Linked DNA regions of Zea mays. The main gene of each other region encodes a partner of the protein of the gene in region 3 in a complex. Links are inferred from orthologs where the notes say so. Each region holds a gene or a part of one and is shown on either strand. Other genes may lie near its edges.

Region 1 (3,132 bases), on a different chromosome or scaffold from region 3:
TATTAAACCACTTTCAGGCAAGACAATGTTTCGCAGTGAGAGGCGTGTACCCTTTGATGGGGAGTACTGATGAGGTATGTAAGCAATTGTATTTTTCCCTAACATTAGAGTTACATGTAAAAAAACATATGGCTAACCATGAATGCTTAAAACTCTGTAATAGGCCGAAACTGGTGGGCTAACAAAGGAAGAGTATGGGATAAAACTTGCGATGAGCTATGGTCGGTCGGTTGGCATAGTGAAGCCTTTCGACAGGTTGATAATCTTTGAAAAGATTGGTGATTCTTCTGTTGTCAAGATCATTGAGTGTGAAGGTTAGGCATTAGATGATTGATACCTACAACCCATGCTGTAGTTTCATGTATCGCATGGGAGATTACCTCCAGTTCCATCTCACTTATTTAACCAAGTTCCAAGTAGAGTACAGCAAGAGCACAAGATATCTTGTTAGGGAATTTTGCCCTCTTTTCAGATTGTCTTTTGATTTGACGCAATAAATTATGATGTCACAGATTTATACTGGAATTATGATTTGATTATGCAAATATAGGATTGTTGGCAACAAACCATGAATAATCGTCGTTCCTACCTTATTCTATTGGACATTACATGATGCAGTGCATGATAACATCCCAAAAGACAATCTTAGGGCATTATCAGTTAATTTACCTATAATGTTCTGTCTATGGTACACTCCTGCAACCTTGCTGCTGTTGCTGGTATGCTGCTGTCAGTACTGCTCCTTGAAGAAAACAGCATAGATGATGCAGCAGATGGAGATGATGATGATAACGATATCGATGGTGAGCGCAGTCATGGCCTGATCGCTAAGCTTCATGTTCTTGCCGCCGAGGCGGTCAACCATGTCTGGCACGGGTTTGTAGTTGATGATGTCCTGCTCGTATGGGTCCTCGAGCCTGGACCTGAGCTGCTGCAGGCGGCGGCTCTCGGCCTCCTGCGCCAGTGTCCAGTCGTAGAACCGCCGTGTCTCCTCCTTGCTCAGCACGTTGTACACCTCTCGCAGGCGGATGAACTTCTGCGACGCCACCTTGAGCGGCAGCGTCGTCGTGTCCGGGTGGTACTCCTTGGACAGCCGCCGGTACGCCGTCTTGATCTCCTCGATGTCCGCCTCTGGCGCTATGCCAAGGAACCTGGGTGATAGATTTTGCAGTTCAGTCATGTGTCGCCGTTAGTAACAAAGTATTGACATGATGATGACAGTGTCTCGAACAGAGCTCTACAAATTTATGTACAGCTGGACGGCAATCCAAAAGGACATATGAGCATGGATTGGAGATGAACTCAACTGGTAGTGAGACTCGGCCGCGTTGTTGATGAGGTCCGCGAACCTCCCTCCCAACGGCTCGTTCTTGCTGCTGCCGCGGCCGTCGCCTTCCTTCTTGGCCTTGCCTCCTACCCACCCTTCGTCGGGGTTGGACCAGTGTATCCTGGTGTCCACCGTCTTCTTCTTCCCCGGCCCTGCACCGTCCGCCGTCGCAGGAGTCGGTTCGGCGTCGGGCGGGCTCGCGGCTGCGACCACGACTGCCTTCGTGCGCCGCTGGTGCCGGTGGAGGAAGGGCGTGAAGATGCGCGAGGCCGTGGACGCTGCCATGGGAAACGTGTGTGTTAGCGTCTGCGCAGGCAGCATTCCAAGGCGTGGAGGGGAGTCGGGAGGTGATGAGGCTCGCACGTTCCAGTTGTCGTGGTAGGAGGGCGAGGCGATGAGGTGTCGCTGTTCACTTAGCCAATGGCCACATGTACAAAAAGAAAAAGGAACGGTAACCATATTCCGAACGAGAAATGAAACTGCAGAAATTTTCCCGCCGCACGAACACTTGCGCTGTCAGTTTAGACGGTACGCAATCGAATTCGTCCGCACAGTTATCCTGAGTAGTACTGAGTACTGACCAAGTGACAATGAGGGAGAAGAGGTAAAAAAAATAAAACAAGGGGGGTAAAAAACAGTTTGGAGATGCGGGGGATCGAACCCCGTACCTCTCGCATGCAAAGCGAGCGCTCTACCATTTGAGCTACATCCCCTTGTTGTAATTTTTAACTGTGATTAAATTAATAATGTTTTTGTAATTCAGGATTTTGGGTGTCGCCTCCCATGATAACGCGCATCAGGTTTGCGTTCCACGGTATCATCAGGGAGAGGTCTTCTTGAAACGGCAACAATGCTTGGATCTTCGTTACTGCCGTCTCCAGTCTCTCAGCTTTGGCCTCAGCACTCTTGTGACTAGCGGTTTTGTCGCCCGATACAAGACATGATTTGTGCCATTGGTAGCCACTGCAGATGCTACGAGATTTGTGCCATTGGTAACTAGTGTAGTTGAAAGGGAGGGAGAGGGGTCTTCCCTTCTATGCCAATCCATATAAATTGAAGGTGATTAAAGGGTTTCAATCCTTAGTAAGTCAAAATCTCTCTCAATACGTATCAATCTCTTCCAATCTATAGATTGAAAATAACCGAACAAATTGTGATATCCTGGCCCCTGGGATGGGATGTCCTGGCCCAAGGCTTAATAGAATTAATAGTGTAATCATACCAACAAGGTGCATATTCTTTTTCGGAAGCATATCTTGAAAGAACCTCCAAGTTAAGCGTGCTTGGCTTGGAGCAATTTGGGATGGGTGACCGACCGGGAAGTTTTCTCGGGTGCGCATGAGTGAGGACAAAGTGCGCACAAAAGACTTGTGTTGGTATGTGGGGACAATATATGATCCTAGAGAGCTGCCAGGAGTAAGTACCGCCGGTCCAGGGATTGGACGGGGTGTTACAAGTGGTATCAGAGCCGACCCTCGCGGTTTCACGGGCGTGTGTGGGCTAGGGGGTTCGGGTATATGGCGCATGGCGCATCTGGGCCCGGAGTGGTCACATGGCATGGCATATGACGACACTAGACATACAGACGTGGCCAAGAGGGGAGGTTCCTGGATTGGGGTTGACCGACGAGGACGTCGGTCTTCTAAGGGGGGTGGATTGTGATATCCTGGCCCCTGGGATGGGATGTCCTGGCCCAAGGCTTAATAGAATTAATAGTGTAATCATACCAACAAGGTGCATATTCTTTTTCGGAAGCCTATCTTGAAAGAACCTCCAAGTTAAGCGTGCTTGGCTTGGAGCAATTT
Region 2 (3,016 bases), on a different chromosome or scaffold from region 3:
GACGAAGTACTCAGCAGCAGCATAGCATGGTGGTGTTCCCTAATTTTAATTATTTAGGGCTAGTTTGGGAACCCAATTTCCTAAGGGATTTCTATTTTTCCAAGGGAAATTAGTTCATTTTCCCATGGAAAAATAGAAATCCCTTAGAAAATTGAGGTTCCCAAACTAGCCCTTACTGTATCTTTATGCTTCTGTAGAACATTGAGCTAGAAGACCAATTCAGACCATGGAGCGATGAATTTAAAAAGTACCGAGTTGTCATGGAATGTTTGTAGAGGGTTTACCCATACTAGCCATTACTCCATCCAGTTCAGAAAGTCGTTTGGTAAGTTAGCGCGGTCGTCTCTGTGCAACTCTCTGACCTCATGTGGTATTCGGTGATACGTATCTATTAGCAGAAACTATGGTATTGTGTACTGTAACCCAATTCGAGTGCCCTAGAAACAGAAGGGGTATCTAAACTCGAGCAAACCCTTATTTTGCCCAGACTCTCGTTATGTGGTTATTACTGTGCAGGGGTGACAAAATTCTGCCAACAGAATCGGTGTATGGCTTTGCATCTGCGTAATATGAATTCTGGAATGCTCTGGATCGTATCTGGGACTGCAGAGTATACATCTTGCTCGGTAATCGAATGGAGAGAAACCATTCTTTTAAGGGCGTTGGATAAGTACATTCTATATCTTTTCTGGTATCTGGTTGCTGTTGAACTTGATGCGAGGCTTGCCCATGCTGAAATTGAGGACTCTGGACCTCATGTTGTACTTGATCACCCCGTCGTACAGCAGTTTGCGGATGTAGTGCTCAAGGTCTGACCCGATCAACCGAAGTGTGTACTCCGACAGCTCAGCCCCCTGTTTCAAAGCAGAAACGAGCTCAGCTATCCTCTTACCGATCACTTCTTTTGCCAAGACCGTATGTTTTATTTTTTTGGCAGGAGTGGCTCTAAAGTAGATGAAAAGGGGGGAAATGACCGTACGAATTTCAGACAACAAGAGATTCAATTCAAATTTTTTTTATCTACTATCGGAGCTGTTGGAGTGGGAGCAACTACAGAGGTTACCTCGTAGTGATCGACGAGGTCCTGGAACTCGTTGAAGACCATCTGGCAGGCCTCGTCGGTCCAGGCGAACTCGTCCTGGGGGTCGAGCATGAGCGTCAGCTTGTCCATCTGCGTCTGGTCGAACGCGTTGGTCACCGGGTCGATGTACGCAGCGTAGATGCGGACGTGCCGCGTGGTGCTGCTCAGCCACTGCCCGCCGTACTCGCGGCTCATGTTCTTGCTCTCCGCCAAAGGCTGCCGCGGCAGGGACTGCGCGTCCCCCTTCCTCGCCTGCTTCTCCGCGTCCTGTGGCGGCGGCACGCTCGCCACCTCGGCCTCCTCCTCCTTCACCTGCTGCTCTTGCTGCGCTCGCGCCGGAGGGACCCTGACGCTGATACGTCCCGCCGTTTTGGGGCTAGCGAACCGACGCCCCTGCAGCGGCAGCTTGGCCGGGGGTAGAAACGCCGTGGTCGCCATGTTTGTGGTGGCCTCTCGCCTGCTTCTTCGCCTGTGCTTTGGCTAGTGCTGGATTTTTGTCGTTCCGCGCGTGCAGCAGCTTAGCCACAAGCGGAGAGCGTGGCTTGTGTCGCGTACTTTTTTGTGTGTGTGGATAAGGGCCGTTTCTGCCACTGACTTCGGTTTCGGTTTGCACTTTTGCACAGCGCACCATTGGGCCAAGCAGGCTTCCAGACTCATTGGGCTCTGAACGCTGGTGCGGCGGTTGCCTTGCGATTTCGGGGTACGCGGTTTGTCGTCAGTCTCGCACAGAGTACTGAAGAGCACCAGCTTTCATCGCCATTGCACAAGCATTACGCACAACACTACGTAAATTCAGCTTGGAAGACGCCTAACCCGGCAATCTCCGAACCTGTACATACACATTACACTACGTACGGACACTTGCAACATATGTACAATAGCGTGCAGAACTGCCTGTTATTACAGTATTGTTACAGCTCACAAATCTAATCACACGAATCAAATAATCGTGCTAAGCAACCAATGAGCAAGCACCACGAACTAGCCATGCAAGTTCGTTTCCACCGGCAGCAGCAGCGTATTTGGAAGAAGGCCGGTGCTGCCTGCATCTGCGAGGGGTATCACGGGGAGCTTCTCGCAGTCGCAGACCTCGACCACATTGCCGTCTGGGTCGCGGAAGAAGAGCTGCTCCACCACCGTCTCGCCGTCTCACACCCGCGCCGCCACGAACTCCAGCTCCATGTCACCCAGCCTCGTCTTCATGAGCCCCATGTCCGTGCACTGCACGCCATTGCCAAACGAGCACACCCGATCAGCGGGTGCTTACTGGTTACTGCTACTACTAAGTACTCGTACTAACTAAGCAGGTCAACTCTGCGCGAGAGCAAGGATCCTCTCTGCTTGGATTGGACTAAATTTGGCTGCCTATCCAGTTTCTTAATTCTGCGAGAGCGCTCTGGTGGTCACCTGAAAGGAAATGTGGTTGCCCTTGGGGTTGATCGCCGGCGGTCTTGCAGCTGCCGGAGCGTTGGGCGACGAATCCGAGCCGCGCTGCAGTAGATATATCCCCATGCCGTACCTGTGCATCCTGGAAAGCACGCAACGAGTTGACCTCACCTTGGCGAAAATAATAATAATAATAATAATAATAATAATAATAATAATAATAATAATAATAATAATAATAATAATAATAATAATAATAATAATAATAATAATAATAATAATAATAATAATAATAATAAATCGATGGACAAGAAACAGGCACTAGCTAGGCAGTGGTATATATGTAGTGCGAAATGGCTGCTCACCATGCTCCTCCGAAGTCGAGGGACGCCGGGCGTTTGACGAGCTCGAAGCCAAGCACGCGCTGGTAGAAGCCGACCGATGCTTCCACGGACTCGCACTGGAACGAGACGTGGTTCAGGCGGACGAGGGGGAGGGCGGGAGCAGGGCCATGCGCGTCATAGCTGCGCGCATCCTTCTCGTGGAAAT
Region 3 (2,877 bases):
CGGAGGGGACTCGAAGACACTGATGTTTGTGAATCTGTCTCCTGAAGCGTCCTCGACAGGGGAGTCTCTTTGCTCATTGCGGTTTGCTGCAAGGGTGAACTCCTGTGAGATCGGGATCCCCAGGCGCCAAACCCAGATGCGGAGCTCACAATGATGAAATACGGCGGAAGCGAGCTGCCAGTGTAATGCTTGTGTGTGTGTTGATTTGGTGATGCAACCGATCATTTGCATCCCCTTGTCTGGAGGTGGTGTGAGTTGCCAATTTTATTTGGTTTGTGGCCTTGTTGATTGCGCTAACGGCTGGCAGCGGTGGGTGTGCTGGCCTATTATATTAATCTTAGGACCTGATCTGATTTGTATGTTGGGATGTGTTGCCATTTTCAATTTTTTTGCTTTCATTCGTAGTCTTGATTTGTCGTTTGCCCAATGCCCAATGCCTCTGAGCTGAGCTGGGCGTGTATGTAAACAACTGTGTACCCGTTGTCGGACACGCACACAGCCTGACATGATAATTGTATTTCCCTGCTCTGGGAATTCTGCAATACCCCTTGTGAGTTTCAAGTATTCATTTACACATCATGATATATGAATGAAAAATTGTGGTTCTGCTAGGCCATCTTGGCCATGAGCTCCTGGAGGATGAGCTTTGTCTCGGCGTAGCGGTCGCCGATCCTGGCGTCGTCCTTGGCTGTGACGGCCTCCTGGAGCGTCTCGAAGCTGTCGAAGAGGCGGTTGGCGAGGTCGACGAAGGGCGGCTTGTCTTCGGCGGCGGAGATGAGCTTGTCGAAGTCGTAGTACATGAAGGTGGACTTGAGGCGGAGGTACTTGTTGACGTAGTTGGAGGCGTCCTTGCCCAGCAGGTCCTCCAGCGCCAGCAGGTCGAAGGCCGTGCTGCGCAGCCGGTACGCGTGCGCCGCGAAGCTGGGCCCGATGTCCGCCATGTAGATGCCGTTCTTGAGGAAGGAGCGCGTGCCCGTCTCCGCGTTGTTGATCTCCTCTGCCATGCCACTCATCGCCGACACAATTGTCAGTGAACCAAGTAAAGTTAAGTGGTGGATGGAGCAGGACGGACGGGACGGCTTACTGTTGACGATCTTGGGCACGGGCAAGGGGAACTCGGTCAGCCACCAGCCGTTGTTGGCCGGCTCGTCGTCGGTTTCGGCGGCGGAGGCGGCACGTGGGCGGAGCAGGACGGCGCACGCGATGCCGAGGAGGCAGGCTGACCTCCTGGACGGGGACGACGGCTGCTGGGAGGAGGCGGCGGCTTGGCACGTCACGTGCAGCGTCGGTCGGCTCGGCCGGAGTAGACGGAGGCTGCCACCGGAGAAGGCATGGCGGCAGCTTGCAGTCGTCGTGGTGGCTGCCGGCGGTGCGTTGAGATAAGTGGCCATGGGGACGGAGAGACGAGTGGATAGCGCGGGCGGGGCGGCACTCGCTAACGCATGAGATCGTAGCCGATAGAAATATCAGAAAAAAGTAAAAGGAAGAAAGCGGCTGCTGGCCGTTCCGACATCCTTCCGTTCCTGATGAGGTTTGCAGTTGAAGATGAATTTGGCCTGGCCTGTAATTTTTGGTACGATTCAAATCTGGATCACTCCTCCACTACTGAGTACTCACTCACTCCCTCAGCCACCACCGCCCCACCAGCCATCAACCACCACCAAACCAAGGAAGGCCACGAGACACAGGCACACAGGACGAGCAGCCAGAGCCGCCAGCCATGCGGGGCGGCTGCTACGTGGGCAAGGCCACCAAGATCTTCCTCGCCCTCCTGGCCGCCCTCGCCGTCGTCGGCGTCGTCCTCGCCTTCCGCGCCGTCCTCCACCGCGCCGCCAAGTCCAGCCCCGCCTCCGCATCGTCCGCGTGCGCCGCCGCCGACGCGTGCCAGCCCGTCCTGCCCGACACGGACCCCGCATACCGCTCGCCCGCCACGGCCGCCCGCCCGCCGCCCACGCCCACGCCCGCGCAAGATCCCGCCTTTCCCTCCCCGGACGCCGCCGCCTGGCCGCCGCCGCCCTCACGGCCGACGGCTGTGCCCGACACCCCTCTGTCGCCGCCGCCGCCGCCGGTGCCCGTGCTCCAACCTCCCGAGCAGCAGCTGCCCGCGCCGGCATTCCAGTCACCGCCGCCGCCGGTGCCCGTGCTCCCACCTCCCGAGCAGCAGCTGCCCCCGCCGGCATTCCCGTCACCACCGCCGCCGCTGGCGGAGATCGCGTCGCCACCGCCGCCGGACCAGCTGCTGCCGTCACCTCCACCACCTGCGTTGCCGTCGCCTGATGCGCCGCCGCCCGCCCCAGAGGCGCCCAGCCCAACGGCGTCTTGACTCAATCGTAGTCGTAGATGCCGACTGCTTCAGTCTCAGAGCAGGGCAATAGCTGTGGATTTGGTAGAGGAGTTTAGCCGCCGCCGTCTGCTGATGTACTGTTTCTTCAGTTTATCCTATAATTAATCCATCTCTAATTCAGGTGCAATTTTGTTGAATTCTTCAGTGTCGCCGCCGTCAGGATCCCACAGAATCAGCCTGCGCGCGCGCGCGTTTCTCTTGTCAAAAATTAAAAAATAAAACAAAAAAACCTAATCTCTGCTGTTCTCTTTACAGTTTGTTGTACTGTGCAGAATCTGCATTCTTTCCTAAGAATTCTCTAGCGTTTCGCGGCGAAATTCAGTGTGTAGCAGTACTAGGAATCACTGCCCTTTCACCTCTGCATGTCGGCTGGATTAACATGAATTGACCATGGACTTGCTGTTGACCACCTTGGGCCGTTGGAGAGAGATTCCCCAGCTCCTGCAGCGGCTCCACAGATCTACCCTCCACTCTGCATCTATCGAGCCGAGCACAAGACAGCGGTGCTTCTCTCTAAACGTGAATACAATTGC
Region 4 (2,921 bases), on a different chromosome or scaffold from region 3:
ATATGATCAAATCTTGAACCATCCAACTCCCTATTTTTTTCGAACAAAGTCGTTTCTTGGCATCGAGCCATTCTAAACACTAACTTAGACTGTCTTCAGTGGATCCCCTAAAATAGAGGACATGATACTGTAAATAACAATATTTATCATTGTTTATAGAGTAAAGTCTGAAATAAGGGATGTGATATGAGATGAGATAGGGGAGTTGGTTGACACGGTCTTAGAGATTATCTAAAGATGGCTCAACCTTGTTTCCCTCCCTGACTAATTGTACATTGTTTATTTCAGCAGTGGCTAGCTGCGGAGTGTAGACAGAGGCGTGTGCGTGATGATACACTTTGACCCATAATATAAATGCTGGAAAGGTATATTATAAACCTTTGTTTGTGGCTGCTTCATAATCGGTACACTATCATTTTTTTATTTTGTCGTTTTTTATTCGAAAATAAACTATCGACGAGACAAATATTCAAGAACGGAGACAATATATTATTAGTATTAATTATGAAATGTGAGTTTAAATAACATAAAGAAGTGATGTGCAGCAGCAATTATGAATCTCGTCATCGTACGTCGCTCTCGATCTACTTCCTGATTATTCCAGCAGCTGAGGTCTCAGATTGCCTCTGTCGACTGTTCTGGCAATACTGGCATGTACGTATATACCTACAACAAGTCAACAACAAGAGGTGTGTCCTGCTTGGCCGACTCCTGATGCGAAATGAAGCATGAATTCGGCGGCGGCGCTACGGTGCCCTGCGAGGCCGCCGGCCGGCCATCATATCCTCTCGTAGTCGAGCTTGTCCGACTGCAATGCAACAAATCACATGCCACAGAGACAGAGAGCGAGAGCGAGGTGAGACGAGTGGTGCATGACGTACAGATTGATCCAACTGGGGATGAATCAGCTACCTTGATGAGCATGTAGGTTGGTAGCCATGCCGGTGGCGTCGGGATCCCCACCCAAGCGATCTGAAATGCATGCACGCGCGCGTTGGTCTGAAACTCTGAACATGTATGGTGGAGGCAGAAAGCATGACGAAACTCTGAACACAGCATGCGCGGATGGAAGTAGTTTTCATTACCAGGGCGTATTCTCCTGTTTCGAAGTTCCTGATATCCAAGACCTCGCCGCGGTCTTGGTATATGTAGTCCAGCCCCTTGTAGAAGGGCGGGTGTCCCACTGACAGATAATTGATGCTGTTCAGGTACTTCTCCTTGTCCACGCGCACAATCTGCCCTTTCTTCACTGCAAAGCTCAGCCAGTTTCATCATGCATGCATGGCCGCGCGCGCGAGAGCTAGAGGGAGAAGTAGGGGGGGGTGGGGGGGGGGGGGGGGGGGGTCTTGTCGTCGTCTTACTCGAGTAGACGGGCTTCTTCTTGAGGATCTTCTTGGGAGCGGCCGCCGGCGGCGGCGGCGGCGTCGTCTCCTCCCCGGCCGCCGCGGAGGCCCTGCAGATGTGAGGAGCGGCGGAGCGGCGCCGGGCTGGGCCGGCCGGCGTCGCCACTGGGCACGCGCGCGGGAAGAGCGCCCGAGGCGCCGAGGCGAGGGCTTCCATGGTGCGGCGGGCGAAGGGATGGATTGCTCGCTCAGCTAGTCAGCTACTCAGCCAAATCCGGACGCGCGGTGTGCCAGTGCCACAGGACCCGGATAAGGCGATCGATACACGGCTGCCTTTTTGCTATTGGTTGGCCATTTGCTTCCCATTGCAAGCGCAAGAGAGAGAGAGGGGGGGGGGGGAATCATCATCTACTTTGGCTGCTGTCATGACCTGCCACCACCAAGAAGTGGAGATTCCCATTCAGAAAAAGAAGACGACGATGGGAAATGGGTGGATCCAAGAGCCAGGCAGGCGCCCCCCCAGTGCGCAGCGCACGCAGGTGGATCTTCCTTGTCCGGTCCCACCAGCGCCATCAACACAGGTTTGACTTCCATCCTTACACACCTTCCAAAACCCCTCTGACGTGTGGGTCCACCGAGTTATCAAAGTGGCGATGGGGCCCGCGGCCGGGCGACGAACCGGCGTGCGCGGGCAGGCAGGCAGGCAGGCGGTTGGCCTGGATTCAAAAGGGACTCTACTTTTGGCCCATTTCCAACCACCATCTGCCTAGGCGTCTGTCTGTCTGTCTGACGCCGCGCCCACCACCGTCCCGCAAAAGGCGCGCCGCGCCGCGCCGCGCCGTCCCGTCCGTCTTCGTCCCCAGTCCCCACCAACCTGTCCGGATGGGCCACTCGGCGTCGCGGCCCACTGCCTGCGCCGGCGCCGGCGAGGCGCTGCCCTCGCGCTTCGCGCGGTTCCGCCGCCGCCTGCGCAACCGCCTGCGCCGCGGCGCCGGCGACGACTCGGTCTCCTCCAAGGCCCTCGCCGCCGACGAGTTCGCCGGCATCGCACGCGTCCGGATAGCCAAGGTACGTGGGCCGCGCGCTGCGAACTCCGCTGCTACGCGCATGTTCCTTAGCACCGAGTCTCGCTCCCCGCTTCGACGCGGCCAGCCGAGGCGGAATCCGTGGGTTTCGATTCGTATCGCATCACTGTCTCTGCCTCTCTGACTCTGACTTTGACTCGCCATGGTTGATCCTCCTGTTCGGTTTCCGGGCGCAGGCGGATATGCAGTTCAAGGACAAGTTCTTCGCGTGCCTCTCTCTCGGCGACCGCACGTACCGCACCGAGACGTCCGACAAGTGCGTCGCCCTTGCTTTTATTTACTGCTCGAATACTCGTCCTATGTCTGTTCCATTTCCATTCCTCTGTGCAAGAATATCCCTGTCTCGCTCTCATGTCTGCGTGCTGTGTGTCCCTCGACTTGGTAACTCTCAAATGTCCCTCTGGCTGTGCCCTCCGATCTAGTAAATTTTAACTTCCACGCCGCACGCGGGATTGCTGATAAGTACCTCAGCCAGTTATGAGCCACCATATCG
Region 5 (3,272 bases), on a different chromosome or scaffold from region 3:
TTTTGGATAGAAAATTAGAAGATAGGGGAAGAATCTGAAGAAGGCTCCTCGAAGAAACTTCTTTACCTCCCATCCACATGTGGTGTTCTAGTTTCTGATATGCGTTTTTTTTTTGGGTTAATTCATTCATCTTATGTTCGTTGCTTCTGTGTGAGGGGAAAGCACTTCCTCGCTCTACTCGTGCGGAAGCGATCCATTCTTTCGTGTCCAACTCACACGTCAAGAATATCGAAATGTGGACCCTTTTCAGCGCGCTCTTTAATTCAGCTTACCTGAGCATCAATGGTGAAGGAAGAATGCAAGCTCATTGACCAAGGTGGCAATGATGTCGCCGATCCACAACGCGATGGAGACGAGGACAGTGATCTCGTGTGCCTGCGCTCTCGTGTTCGGCTGTGCGCCTGGGTTCTGAGAATCCTAAACGCGTCGCGGCCGTGAACTATTCACATGTATGGAAATCTGTACATGGTTCGCATTCTTTCTCTTCTGACACTCGTGCCAAAAAAATGTATGTATATCTTTATTAATTGCCTCTCTCATTCAGTGCAAAGCTGCAGGAATGGCAGGGAGAGATGTCCCAGAAGCAATTGGAGAGTGTAGCAGTAGCAGTAGCCAGTCTGGTAGACAACTAGCTAGACCTGCTTGCTTGATCATTCCTCCGCGTCCGGGTCCGGCTCGAGGCCTGCGATCTGCTTCAGTGGCTTCCAAACAAAGCTTCTCCTGCACGCGTGCAACAGGGCCACACGTACGTAATCAGGCCTTAGCCACAAGTGGTCCCGTGTGGGAAATTTAGACATGGAGGGAGGTAGAAGGAAGCGCATGTACCAGTTGCCGCATTCTGCGATCACCCTGACTTTGGGGCGGATGTCCGGGAGCATGGCCAGGAACTGCAGCTCAGCCTTGGACAGAACCTGCACGTAGACCAGACGAGAGGCCCGAAGAAGAGGTTCAGGAACAGAGCACTCGTCAGTGGTGTGCCGATCGATGGAGGCGCGTGCATGTAGATGTAAGCAGGCACCTCACCTTGGCTTCGATGATCCAGACGACGAGGCCTTTGGCGTCCGGGTGCAGCAGGCTGAGCCTGTAGTCCACCTCCGGCGGGAAGTACCACCGCGCCACCGGCTGCCTGCCGAGGCTAGGCTGCAGTCACCGCACCGCCACTCCAATCGAGTCAGTTCGTCGATCGACCGCTCGGTTCCCGCACGCGACGAAAGGACACGGCACAGCCACAGCAGCAACAACAAGCAAAGAAAGAGAGAAGGGAACGTATGTCGTGCTCACGTGATGTCCGTGCTCATGTGAGCACTTTAAATCGTGAGTGTTCTTTCTTAATCCAACGATTAGTGCTTTTTATTCACTTAAGTCCTCTCACCTTAACGATGAGTGTTCCTGGCCAGCAGCATGATCGTTAGATTAAGAAGGAACACTCACGATTTAAAGTGCTCACATGAGCACGGACGTCGCGTGAGCACGAGATACGTTCCCAAGAAACTAAAGGCGTGCTACGTACCGGGCAGACGGGGTGGACCTTGGTGAGCGTGGTCTCCGGGTCGCCGAGCCCCCGCGCGGAGAGGTCGAGGAAGTAGTAGCCCTGGTAACGGAGGCGGTTCAGGTAGCGGCCCTCGTAGCCGCCCTCGTGCGGCGGGTAGATGGCCAGCGCCTTGTGCTTCTCCACGTCGTCCAGCCACTTGCCCAGGTCCGGCCGCACCAGGTCGCCGCCCACGAAGTCCCACACCGTGCTGCGCACCGACACCGACCCCCGGCCGCCCCGCGACCCGCCGCGCCGGCCGCTGAGGAGCGAAGGCGCCGGGACTGGGGACACGGACACCGCGCGCGCCGCCGCCGCCGTTGCTGCCGACCACATGGTGCTGCTGCCTGCGGCCGTGCGTGTGGGTGGGTGGGAGTGGAAGTGGGACTGTGGGAGGAGTCGCTTGATTGCTTTTGAGCCTGTGGCGGGAAGATGGCTTGCGCTGAAGCTGAAGTGGGGAGGAGGGGTCGCGGATAAGTCTCCAATCCAGGCCGTAGGTTGGTCTGTCAGCCGAACTGCCCAAGACTGAAAGAGCAGAGTACATGTGTTACCACTTACCAATCTGTATTCAGATTCTACTCAGAGATCGCACACAGTACGGATACGTGAATTTTCTTTAGATCCAAACAAAATATTAAAATGCATTAAAAGTTACATAGATCATTAATCCTGTTAAGGCCTATTTTAGAAACTTTAGTTTATTCAGACCCGCCAATTCTGAAGGTGATTTGTGTTTCCAAAGTCTAAACTGTCCCAAAAGAATGTCATCAACTGGAAACCCACGTAAATGCATTTGTTTTAGAACGGAGGGAGTAAAATTTCGGTGTGGATCACGTTGACTTCAGAAGTTATTTGAAAAATTAAAATATAAAGAACTTAAATAAATATTTAGGCATATAACGATTTGAGGACACCAGCTTAAAAAACCTTTTAAATTAAACAGTTAGTAAAGTAGGTCACGCGCTCTTTTTGCTTTTTTTAAAGAAAGATGGATGTTGTGCATCATTTGTTGGGATGGTCGTGCTTAGTCTGTCCCAGCAGGGTTCCAAAATTTTATCCACTAAGATAATATTTCTAGTCTTTCACATCACCATTTAAAAGATTCTATCATGTATATTTTTCATGCCTTCAGCAGCAGCAACCTCTAAATTTTATCATCTATATCTCATCATCTATTTTTTTCCAGCCATATTAATGAGAAAAAATTCAAACGATATTTTTTCCATTCACCAATTGTGTACTCCCTCCGGTCCTGAAAAAGATGTCGTTTTAGACAAGGTTTGAGTGAAACATATAAAACTTTGACTATAAATAATAGTTTTGAAATCTAATATATATATACATATATATATATCTTAAAAATCACTTTTACAAAAGTATAAATATATTAAGAGTTTATTTGTATTTACAAAAATATTGGTCAAAGCTATATTTTGAAGACCGTGTTTATGTTCTAAATGACTAGCTTCTGTTGCATCGGACACTGGTCACTAGAAAAACAATCCTCTTTTAGTTTGTTCCTTATCCGCCACTAGGCAAGGCTATAGAGGAAGTTCGCGGTGGTGACAACATAAGAGGAAAAAGATGGCGCGCATGACAGGACGGTCGTGGAGACCAGTGGCGAACGCAGGATAAAATTATAGGTGGAGCAACATTATAAAAGCTAAATCACTAGATTAGATCACAACTCACAAGATAAAACTAGTTTTATGATGACAATATGGAGGATAAGTAATAATACTAG
Region 6 (3,238 bases), on a different chromosome or scaffold from region 3:
GACTCTAGGCAGTCAGCTCTTCAGAACATCCAGGTGAAACAAACATCAGTGGGATGTGTAGTCTAGAAGAAAAGCTAGTTCTCTCCTCCTCAGGGCAGTAGACCAGCCTTGTTCTCTTTCGGAATTCGGGAAAAAAAAGAAGAGCCCGTCTTCATAGCGAGCCAGCTGCATCCCAAGTGTAAAAAAAAAAGAGAGGAAACAGCTGCGAGGCTTACCCTTTTTTTCTCCCCAGTTTTGTTACCCTGATGGTTCCTTCCTAATTCTCCCTTTTCTGCACATGTTTTTAGGGGAATTAATGACATTTTCCTTTTGTTGAATAATAATAAGAATGGGTGGGTGGTGGCAAACCAGCGGCTCTTGATTGTTCAGCGCATCAGTCTTGCATGTGTTTTTTTTTCTCTTCCCTTCAAAGTATTGGAGAAAACATGAAAACAAAGGCAATTCATGCAGAAAGTTGAAGCAACAGTCTGCAGAACATGTCGTGTATTATATGGCACGAGGATAGAACAGATTTTCAGGCTCTCCAGTCTTACAGGAAGGATGGCTTTCCTTTTTATTCAAGAGATTTTCCTAGCAGCTACAGCTTCCTTTCACAGGGTTTTTTTTGCTGTGAGGCAACAATCTGAAGGGCAGCGAGCGGTGTACGCAATGCATCTAGGTCGACTTGACGATGTCGTCCCTGGTGTTGACGGTGAAGTCCCAGAGCTCGCCGTACTTCTCGTTGAAGTCCCAGATGTCCATGGAGTTGTAGTCGGCGATGAGCTTGTCGCGGGCCGACCTCTCCATCATGTAGATCTCCGGCTCGAAGTTGTGCGGCTTGTCGGGCTTGCCCATCTCGATGACGCAGAACACCACGATGAAGACGGCCGCCCCGATGTACAGGTACTCCCCCTGGCGACACAAGCAGACGCGTCTCCGATCCGATCAGTAGATGCAGGTGACGAGTTTTTTTTTTTTTTTTTTTTGGGGCACAAATGCTTGGAGCGCAGGAATTTCACAGGAAACAATTCACTTTCCCGACAGAAAGCACAATTCACTTCCGACCAGGAAACTTCGTGTTCCAAACAGGGGACTAGGTACTGGGAGGAGGAAGTGCTGGATCCTTACCGGCACATTGAAAGCCATGCCGAGGATGATCGCAGGAGGAAATGCCCAGGAGATGAGTGCTGCAAGAGATCGCCGCCATTGATGCAGTGCAACAAATGAGCAAGGCAGAAGCATAAAGATCTGAAAGAGCTACACAGTAGTGGTAGTACCTTGAAAGCCCTGAGGAGGCTCAGCTTCTTGGTACCACTCGGAGACATCCTCCCAGAAGCCCTTCTTGTCTTGGGAAGAAAAGCGGGGGGTGTTGCGGTTGTTTGCAGGTTTTTGTTTCACCACAGCACAAAACAATCAGTGGACTATTATTTCTTTTTCTTTTTGCAATGAAGGATATCATATCATGAACAATGGAGTTCTTATTTTTTTCTGGGAGGATAGTAATACCTTGGCCTTCGAAATAGGTGTGGTGTCCGTCATACTTCCCGTACTCGAAGTCCTCCTGCAAGACAAGACAAGACAAGACAGATCCTCTCCAGTGTCATCCACGAACGAACGAACGAAACGTACTCCGTTCTTCAGAGCTCTCGTTCATAGCACAACCTACGTCAAGGTTCACTGCTTTCCTGCGTGTTCCTAGTCTAACTAACTAAGCGCGGAACGACAACCGAGAAGAGAAGAGAAGAAAAGGAAGGAAACGAGGGACGACGACGACGGACCGGGCTGATGCCGTTGGTGCGGTACACGTCGATGGCGTCCTCCTCCAGGTCCGGCTCGATCTCCGACAGCGGCCCAGGCCCGGCCCTCACCACCACCGCGCCGCCGCCCGGCCTCCTCCCGACACTCGAACGCCGGCGGCCGGCGTGCAGCAGCTGTGGCCGCGCCGCCGCCTTCACCCTCAGCTGCTGCGGCGCTGCGTCATGGCGGCGCCGAGCGGTGCTGGGCGCTGCAGATGGCGAGGCAGAGATGCCGGAGGACAGGCTGCTCATTATCTCGCCGCGGTGCTGCGATCGCTGCTGAGTGGTGACTGGTGAGTGCTCCAGCCCCCGCTGCTGGCTGCTGCTGCACTTCACGTTGCGGCCAAGAGACAAAAAAGCAAGCGGATAATGGTGCGCTGGAGTTGGACACCTACCGTCCAGGATTTTTCCGCTGTCTTTTCCTGTCCCTTTTTTCGTTTCTGGAAATAATCAGCTCATAAAAACTCGGTACGATTCTGTGGAACTGAACACCTACGGACGTCCCACAGTAACCCCTCCCCCCGCCAAAAAAAATCGTGATTCTGTGCGCTATATTTGTAAGAAACTGTCGCATGTGCTTTGGTCAACGGACACCAACAAAACAAGTGAGAACTCACTCTTTGTAGGATTATCTGTAACCCTGTCCTTTAAATTTTTCCATGTATATGGAGTGGTTCTTTCTAAATTCTCTCATACACTACACAACGATTTTTTTATAGCGACCTATGGTTGGTTGCTAGAACGTCTTCATCAACCTAGGGTTTAGGGTTTAGATATACACAGTTAATTAGTAGTACAATGGTGCTATGTTTACAAATAAATATACAGTACTAATTTGCATGTAAAGCTCTAACTGAATTCTTACCAAGCATCAATGGACACTAGAACATTTGGCGGCCTTGGGGTGCCCTCGAGATTGCGATGTCACAAGAAGACCCGCACATGACATTGTTACAGATCAGATCCTTAAGCCTAGTAATCAACAAACCAGTTTCTTAAATTAGTATTATACAAAAAAAATGCAATTGCTCCCAGTTCTTTTGGTATCAAGACAACATAGTCCCCCATCTTCATAGTAAGAGAAAAAAAGGCTAGCATCACTGCATCAATAAACTGCCCATGCATTTTTTTTTACTGTAATCGAACGATGAGTAAAGCTCTGACATCACCAGTACTCTACTCGTGAACGCCTCGAAGCCCTGCCTCTGTCCTTACCAGTTGGCGGAGAGTCAATGTGACTCAACTTCAGTCTGGAAGGTGAAAATAAAGCAACAAGACACAAATAAAATGAAATCACGTTGCTGCACTGAAAATACAGAGATGATTTCGTGCATAATCTCTCATACCGAACGTAGCAGAGCTGTCGTGGTACTCAACGGGTGGAGTAGCAGAGCTGTCGTGCTGTGGCATGCTGTTGGCGAAGACGAGAAGAACCAGACAACAACTCTGTGCGGATGGATAGC
Region 7 (2,705 bases), on a different chromosome or scaffold from region 3:
AAGGATTAGAATATGGAAGGGAGAGAAGGAAGGGGAGGGACAGACACTGGCTTAGACTGTGTTCACCGCTTACCGCCGGAAGGCCCCCTCCCCTACGATAGCGGCTACAGGAGCACCCTAAAACGTTCAATGGTTAACTCTATCAAGCACCCTACGCTGCCGTTCCCCCTAGCAAGTTTCTTTCTCCCCCTCATTCTGTCGTGCATCTCTCACCCCCTCTAACACTGTTTACGTGGGCCTACTTCCAATTATTAGTAAATGAAAAATTGATAGGAGATAAAAAGAAGGTATAAAAAATGATATTTTATGGTTGTAGTGGGGTGTAGGGGAAAAATTTAGGGGGAACCGCTGTACAGGGTTAAGATATAGGGGGAAAGAGAACGCTGACGTGACACGTGAGTGAGATATAGGGGGCCAAATTTAGGGGTAACCGCTGAAGACAGTCTTAGAGAGGACAAAGTGGAAATTGAGCGGAGCCGGAGCTGCCACGAACAGTGACTTGTCGAGAAAGATGAGATGGTGAGAGAGCTGAAGCGCAGGCGTAGCGAGCGATACTATTATCGCGACCATGACGTAAGCTACGGATTTGTATATGAAAGTGAGTATGTATACAGAAGATAGCAATGATACATCGTCTCGTCCTAAAAGCTGTCGTCGTAAACGCAAAAACATTGACTAGTCATAAAATAAACGAGCCACATTAAACTTTGCGGAAAAGGGAAAATATAAATACGCACATAGCATTTCACATCCTCATTTTGTGTGAATATATTTAATAGTTTTTCTTCTATTTCAATGCACGAGTACATTTACCAGTATTTTATTTATTTAATATAATTATTATTGGTTTACTAAGTAGTTTTTAAAGAGCTCTCGAAGATGCTTTAATTATTTTAAATTAAAATAACCTGTTTCAGTCTCTCCAATACAGAGTTCGATATGCATGTGTAAATATGATCGGAAAACCTTTTTTCTCATGTAGGAGCTAGTTTGAAAAACTTATTTTTTTTCCAAAAATTTATTTTCTCAAATAAAATTAGTTTATTTTTAATCTAATCTAATAATAAAGTTTCCATACTAACCCTAATAATAAAAAACAGGACAGAAAAACTTCTGTCGGTTACGTCAACCCCCTCGATTCAGGTTCAGTACCGCCACACACAACATAGCGGCAGGGCCACGTGGCGCTGACGCCTCATCCCCTCTCCGTTTTCCACCGCCACTCATCCACAACTTTTTTCTTTTTCACTCTGTACAAACTCATCCACAGCTTCCCGACTTTGTCTGTTCTGCTTCGCTCGCGGGCGCTCATCTCCACTCCTCCGATGGCGCCGCCACCCACCAGCCCCTCATTCCTCCGCCCGCCGCCGCTGCCACACCACCCGCACCCTCGCCTCCTTTTGCGACCTCCCTCCGCCTCTTTCCGCGTCGCCGAAATACTCGGCGGTCGGGGCCTCTGCAATGGTGAGGTCGGCGTCCGCAAAGAACTCGCATCCGGCTCCACCACCTCCTCGCCCGCGCCCTCTCCTCCTCCTTCGACAGATTCTCCTCCGCCCGCGGTTGATCCGGACGCGTTCGAGAAGGAGATGATGGGCCTCACAGGCGGCTTCCCTGGCGGTGAGGTCGGCCTCAAGGACTTCGTAGCCAAGAACCCGCCTCCTCCCAAGAAATCAGAATCCCAGCCCCAAGCCACGCTCTCCGCGCCGCCGCGGCCGCCGGAGCTGCCGCTGTTCTTGCCCGGCATGGTGGTGCTGGTCAAGAACCCCAACAACGCCTACCACATGTACTGCGGTATCGTGCAGCGCGTCAGCGACGGCAAGGTCGCGGTGCTCTTCGAGGGAGGAGTGTGGGACAGGCTCATCACCTTCAACCTCGACGAGCTCGAGGGCAGGGAGAAGGGACCCCCTATGGCCAACCCCAAGTCCGTGGTGCTAGAGGATCTTGTCGCGGAGCTCGAGGATGACGATGATGATAAGGAGGACGAAGCGGCCAAGAAGAAGGAACCGGAGGGCGCGGCGGCGGCGGCGACATGACCAGGCTTCTTGTTCCTGTTATACACATCCTCTGTATGTATGCATGTATACAGCTCAAATAAAATATTTGGAGCTAATTAAAAAGGAACGATAATATAACTCTTATTATGAAGTATATAGTTTGAATGTTAGTGTGAATTGGGGCATGGAAGAATTGCCATACGTTTGATCACATTTGACCTGGATGGCTTCTCTTGGATTATTAACTTCTAATTATGATAACAATGAGGATGCCACAAGACTTTCAGTTCTCTGAGATCTGTATGTTATGGCCATATTATGCACTTAAAATTTTGTAGCTGTAATGGTTATCAAGTAGGATTAGGATGCCAATTTAGCTAGAACATGTTTTCTTGCATGAAACTGGTTAGAGCAGATCAAATTGTCAATTTAGCCACTATGTCGCCGTGTTGTTAAATCATTACTTTTCATTCGGTTTTAACTGGCATCAAGGTTTATCTTCAGTGTTCTTTTGCTTCGATTGTTGATCACTTGAGCACTTCTGGAACTGAGTTACAGAAGGCAGGATGGTATGGATCTGGTTAACAAGTCTACAATGTGTATGTTTGGTTTATATGAAGAGGATTTGTGCTAAAGTTTCTTATCCGATGCTTAACCACTCGATGCAAAGATGTGTCGGTCTGAGCCATATAATGGAAAGATGTTCATTTT

What was found.
Region 1: oxygen evolving enhancer protein 3 containing protein (region 3) and NAD(P)H-quinone oxidoreductase subunit T, chloroplastic share a complex: the UniProt entries of both Arabidopsis thaliana proteins name them as parts of the chloroplast NDH complex. The link is inferred for Zea mays from reciprocal best matches to the Arabidopsis thaliana genes PnsL3 and NdhT.
Region 2: oxygen evolving enhancer protein 3 containing protein (region 3) and NAD(P)H-quinone oxidoreductase subunit M, chloroplastic share a complex: the UniProt entries of both Arabidopsis thaliana proteins name them as parts of the chloroplast NDH complex. The link is inferred for Zea mays from reciprocal best matches to the Arabidopsis thaliana genes PnsL3 and NdhM.
Region 4: oxygen evolving enhancer protein 3 containing protein (region 3) and NAD(P)H-quinone oxidoreductase subunit O, chloroplastic share a complex: the UniProt entries of both Arabidopsis thaliana proteins name them as parts of the chloroplast NDH complex. The link is inferred for Zea mays from reciprocal best matches to the Arabidopsis thaliana genes PnsL3 and NdhO.
Region 5: oxygen evolving enhancer protein 3 containing protein (region 3) and NAD(P)H-quinone oxidoreductase subunit N, chloroplastic share a complex: the UniProt entries of both Arabidopsis thaliana proteins name them as parts of the chloroplast NDH complex. The link is inferred for Zea mays from reciprocal best matches to the Arabidopsis thaliana genes PnsL3 and NdhN.
Region 6: oxygen evolving enhancer protein 3 containing protein (region 3) and Photosynthetic NDH subunit of subcomplex B 5, chloroplastic-like share a complex: the UniProt entries of both Arabidopsis thaliana proteins name them as parts of the chloroplast NDH complex. The link is inferred for Zea mays from reciprocal best matches to the Arabidopsis thaliana genes PnsL3 and PnsB5.
Region 7: oxygen evolving enhancer protein 3 containing protein (region 3) and NAD(P)H-quinone oxidoreductase subunit S, chloroplastic-like share a complex: the UniProt entries of both Arabidopsis thaliana proteins name them as parts of the chloroplast NDH complex. The link is inferred for Zea mays from reciprocal best matches to the Arabidopsis thaliana genes PnsL3 and NdhS.

What each region holds. Positions count from the first base shown.
Region 1 is NC_050099.1:14,035,810-14,038,941, reverse strand, and holds NAD(P)H-quinone oxidoreductase subunit T, chloroplastic, read right to left. Parts: upstream 1,760-3,132; 5' UTR 1,649-1,759; coding exon 1,308-1,648; intron 1,152-1,307; coding exon 731-1,151; 3' UTR 501-730; downstream 1-500. Other genes in the region: Pyruvate kinase 1, cytosolic, read left to right, coding at 18-74, 164-319. UniProt on the Arabidopsis thaliana protein: NDH shuttles electrons from NAD(P)H:plastoquinone, via FMN and iron-sulfur (Fe-S) centers, to quinones in the photosynthetic chain and possibly in a chloroplast respiratory chain.
Region 2 is NC_050097.1:23,630,826-23,633,841, forward strand, and holds NAD(P)H-quinone oxidoreductase subunit M, chloroplastic, read right to left. Parts: upstream 1,688-3,016; 5' UTR 1,520-1,687; coding exon 1,064-1,519; intron 855-1,063; coding exon 678-854; 3' UTR 501-677; downstream 1-500. Other genes in the region: uncharacterized LOC100502247, read left to right, coding at 198-275; uncharacterized protein, read right to left, coding at 2,231-2,302, 2,489-2,609, 2,833-3,016. UniProt on the Arabidopsis thaliana protein: NDH shuttles electrons from NAD(P)H:plastoquinone, via FMN and iron-sulfur (Fe-S) centers, to quinones in the photosynthetic chain and possibly in a chloroplast respiratory chain.
Region 3 is NC_050102.1:1,245,645-1,248,521, reverse strand, and holds oxygen evolving enhancer protein 3 containing protein, read right to left. Parts: upstream 1,489-2,877; 5' UTR 1,392-1,488; coding exon 1,085-1,391; intron 998-1,084; coding exon 609-997; 3' UTR 501-608; downstream 1-500. Other genes in the region: kinesin-related protein11, read left to right, coding at 1-154; vegetative cell wall protein gp1, read left to right, coding at 1,721-2,323. UniProt on the Arabidopsis thaliana protein: NDH shuttles electrons from NAD(P)H:plastoquinone, via FMN and iron-sulfur (Fe-S) centers, to quinones in the photosynthetic chain and possibly in a chloroplast respiratory chain.
Region 4 is NC_050103.1:163,552,443-163,555,363, forward strand, and holds NAD(P)H-quinone oxidoreductase subunit O, chloroplastic, read right to left. Parts: upstream 1,713-2,921; 5' UTR 1,561-1,712; coding exon 1,362-1,560; intron 1,250-1,361; coding exon 1,086-1,249; intron 973-1,085; coding exon 913-972; intron 809-912; coding exon 779-808; 3' UTR 501-778; downstream 1-500. Other genes in the region: Phosphatidylserine decarboxylase proenzyme 2, read left to right, coding at 2,226-2,411, 2,605-2,684. UniProt on the Arabidopsis thaliana protein: NDH shuttles electrons from NAD(P)H:plastoquinone, via FMN and iron-sulfur (Fe-S) centers, to quinones in the photosynthetic chain and possibly in a chloroplast respiratory chain.
Region 5 is NC_050098.1:176,087,766-176,091,037, reverse strand, and holds NAD(P)H-quinone oxidoreductase subunit N, chloroplastic, read right to left. Parts: upstream 1,932-3,272; 5' UTR 1,865-1,931; coding exon 1,511-1,864; intron 1,141-1,510; coding exon 1,024-1,140; intron 912-1,023; coding exon 826-911; intron 721-825; coding exon 651-720; 3' UTR 501-650; downstream 1-500. UniProt on the Arabidopsis thaliana protein: NDH shuttles electrons from NAD(P)H:plastoquinone, via FMN and iron-sulfur (Fe-S) centers, to quinones in the photosynthetic chain and possibly in a chloroplast respiratory chain.
Region 6 is NC_050098.1:158,250,019-158,253,256, forward strand, and holds Photosynthetic NDH subunit of subcomplex B 5, chloroplastic-like, read right to left. Parts: upstream 2,071-3,238; 5' UTR 2,028-2,070; coding exon 1,758-2,027; intron 1,541-1,757; coding exon 1,486-1,540; intron 1,326-1,485; coding exon 1,257-1,325; intron 1,167-1,256; coding exon 1,108-1,166; intron 892-1,107; coding exon 655-891; 3' UTR 501-654; downstream 1-500. Other genes in the region: putative transmembrane protein kinase family protein, read left to right, coding at 1-37. UniProt on the Arabidopsis thaliana protein: NDH shuttles electrons from NAD(P)H:plastoquinone, via FMN and iron-sulfur (Fe-S) centers, to quinones in the photosynthetic chain and possibly in a chloroplast respiratory chain.
Region 7 is NC_050100.1:42,420,517-42,423,221, forward strand, and holds NAD(P)H-quinone oxidoreductase subunit S, chloroplastic-like, read left to right. Parts: upstream 1-1,284; 5' UTR 1,285-1,325; coding exon 1,326-2,033; 3' UTR 2,034-2,205; downstream 2,206-2,705. UniProt on the Arabidopsis thaliana protein: NDH shuttles electrons from NAD(P)H:plastoquinone, via FMN and iron-sulfur (Fe-S) centers, to quinones in the photosynthetic chain and possibly in a chloroplast respiratory chain.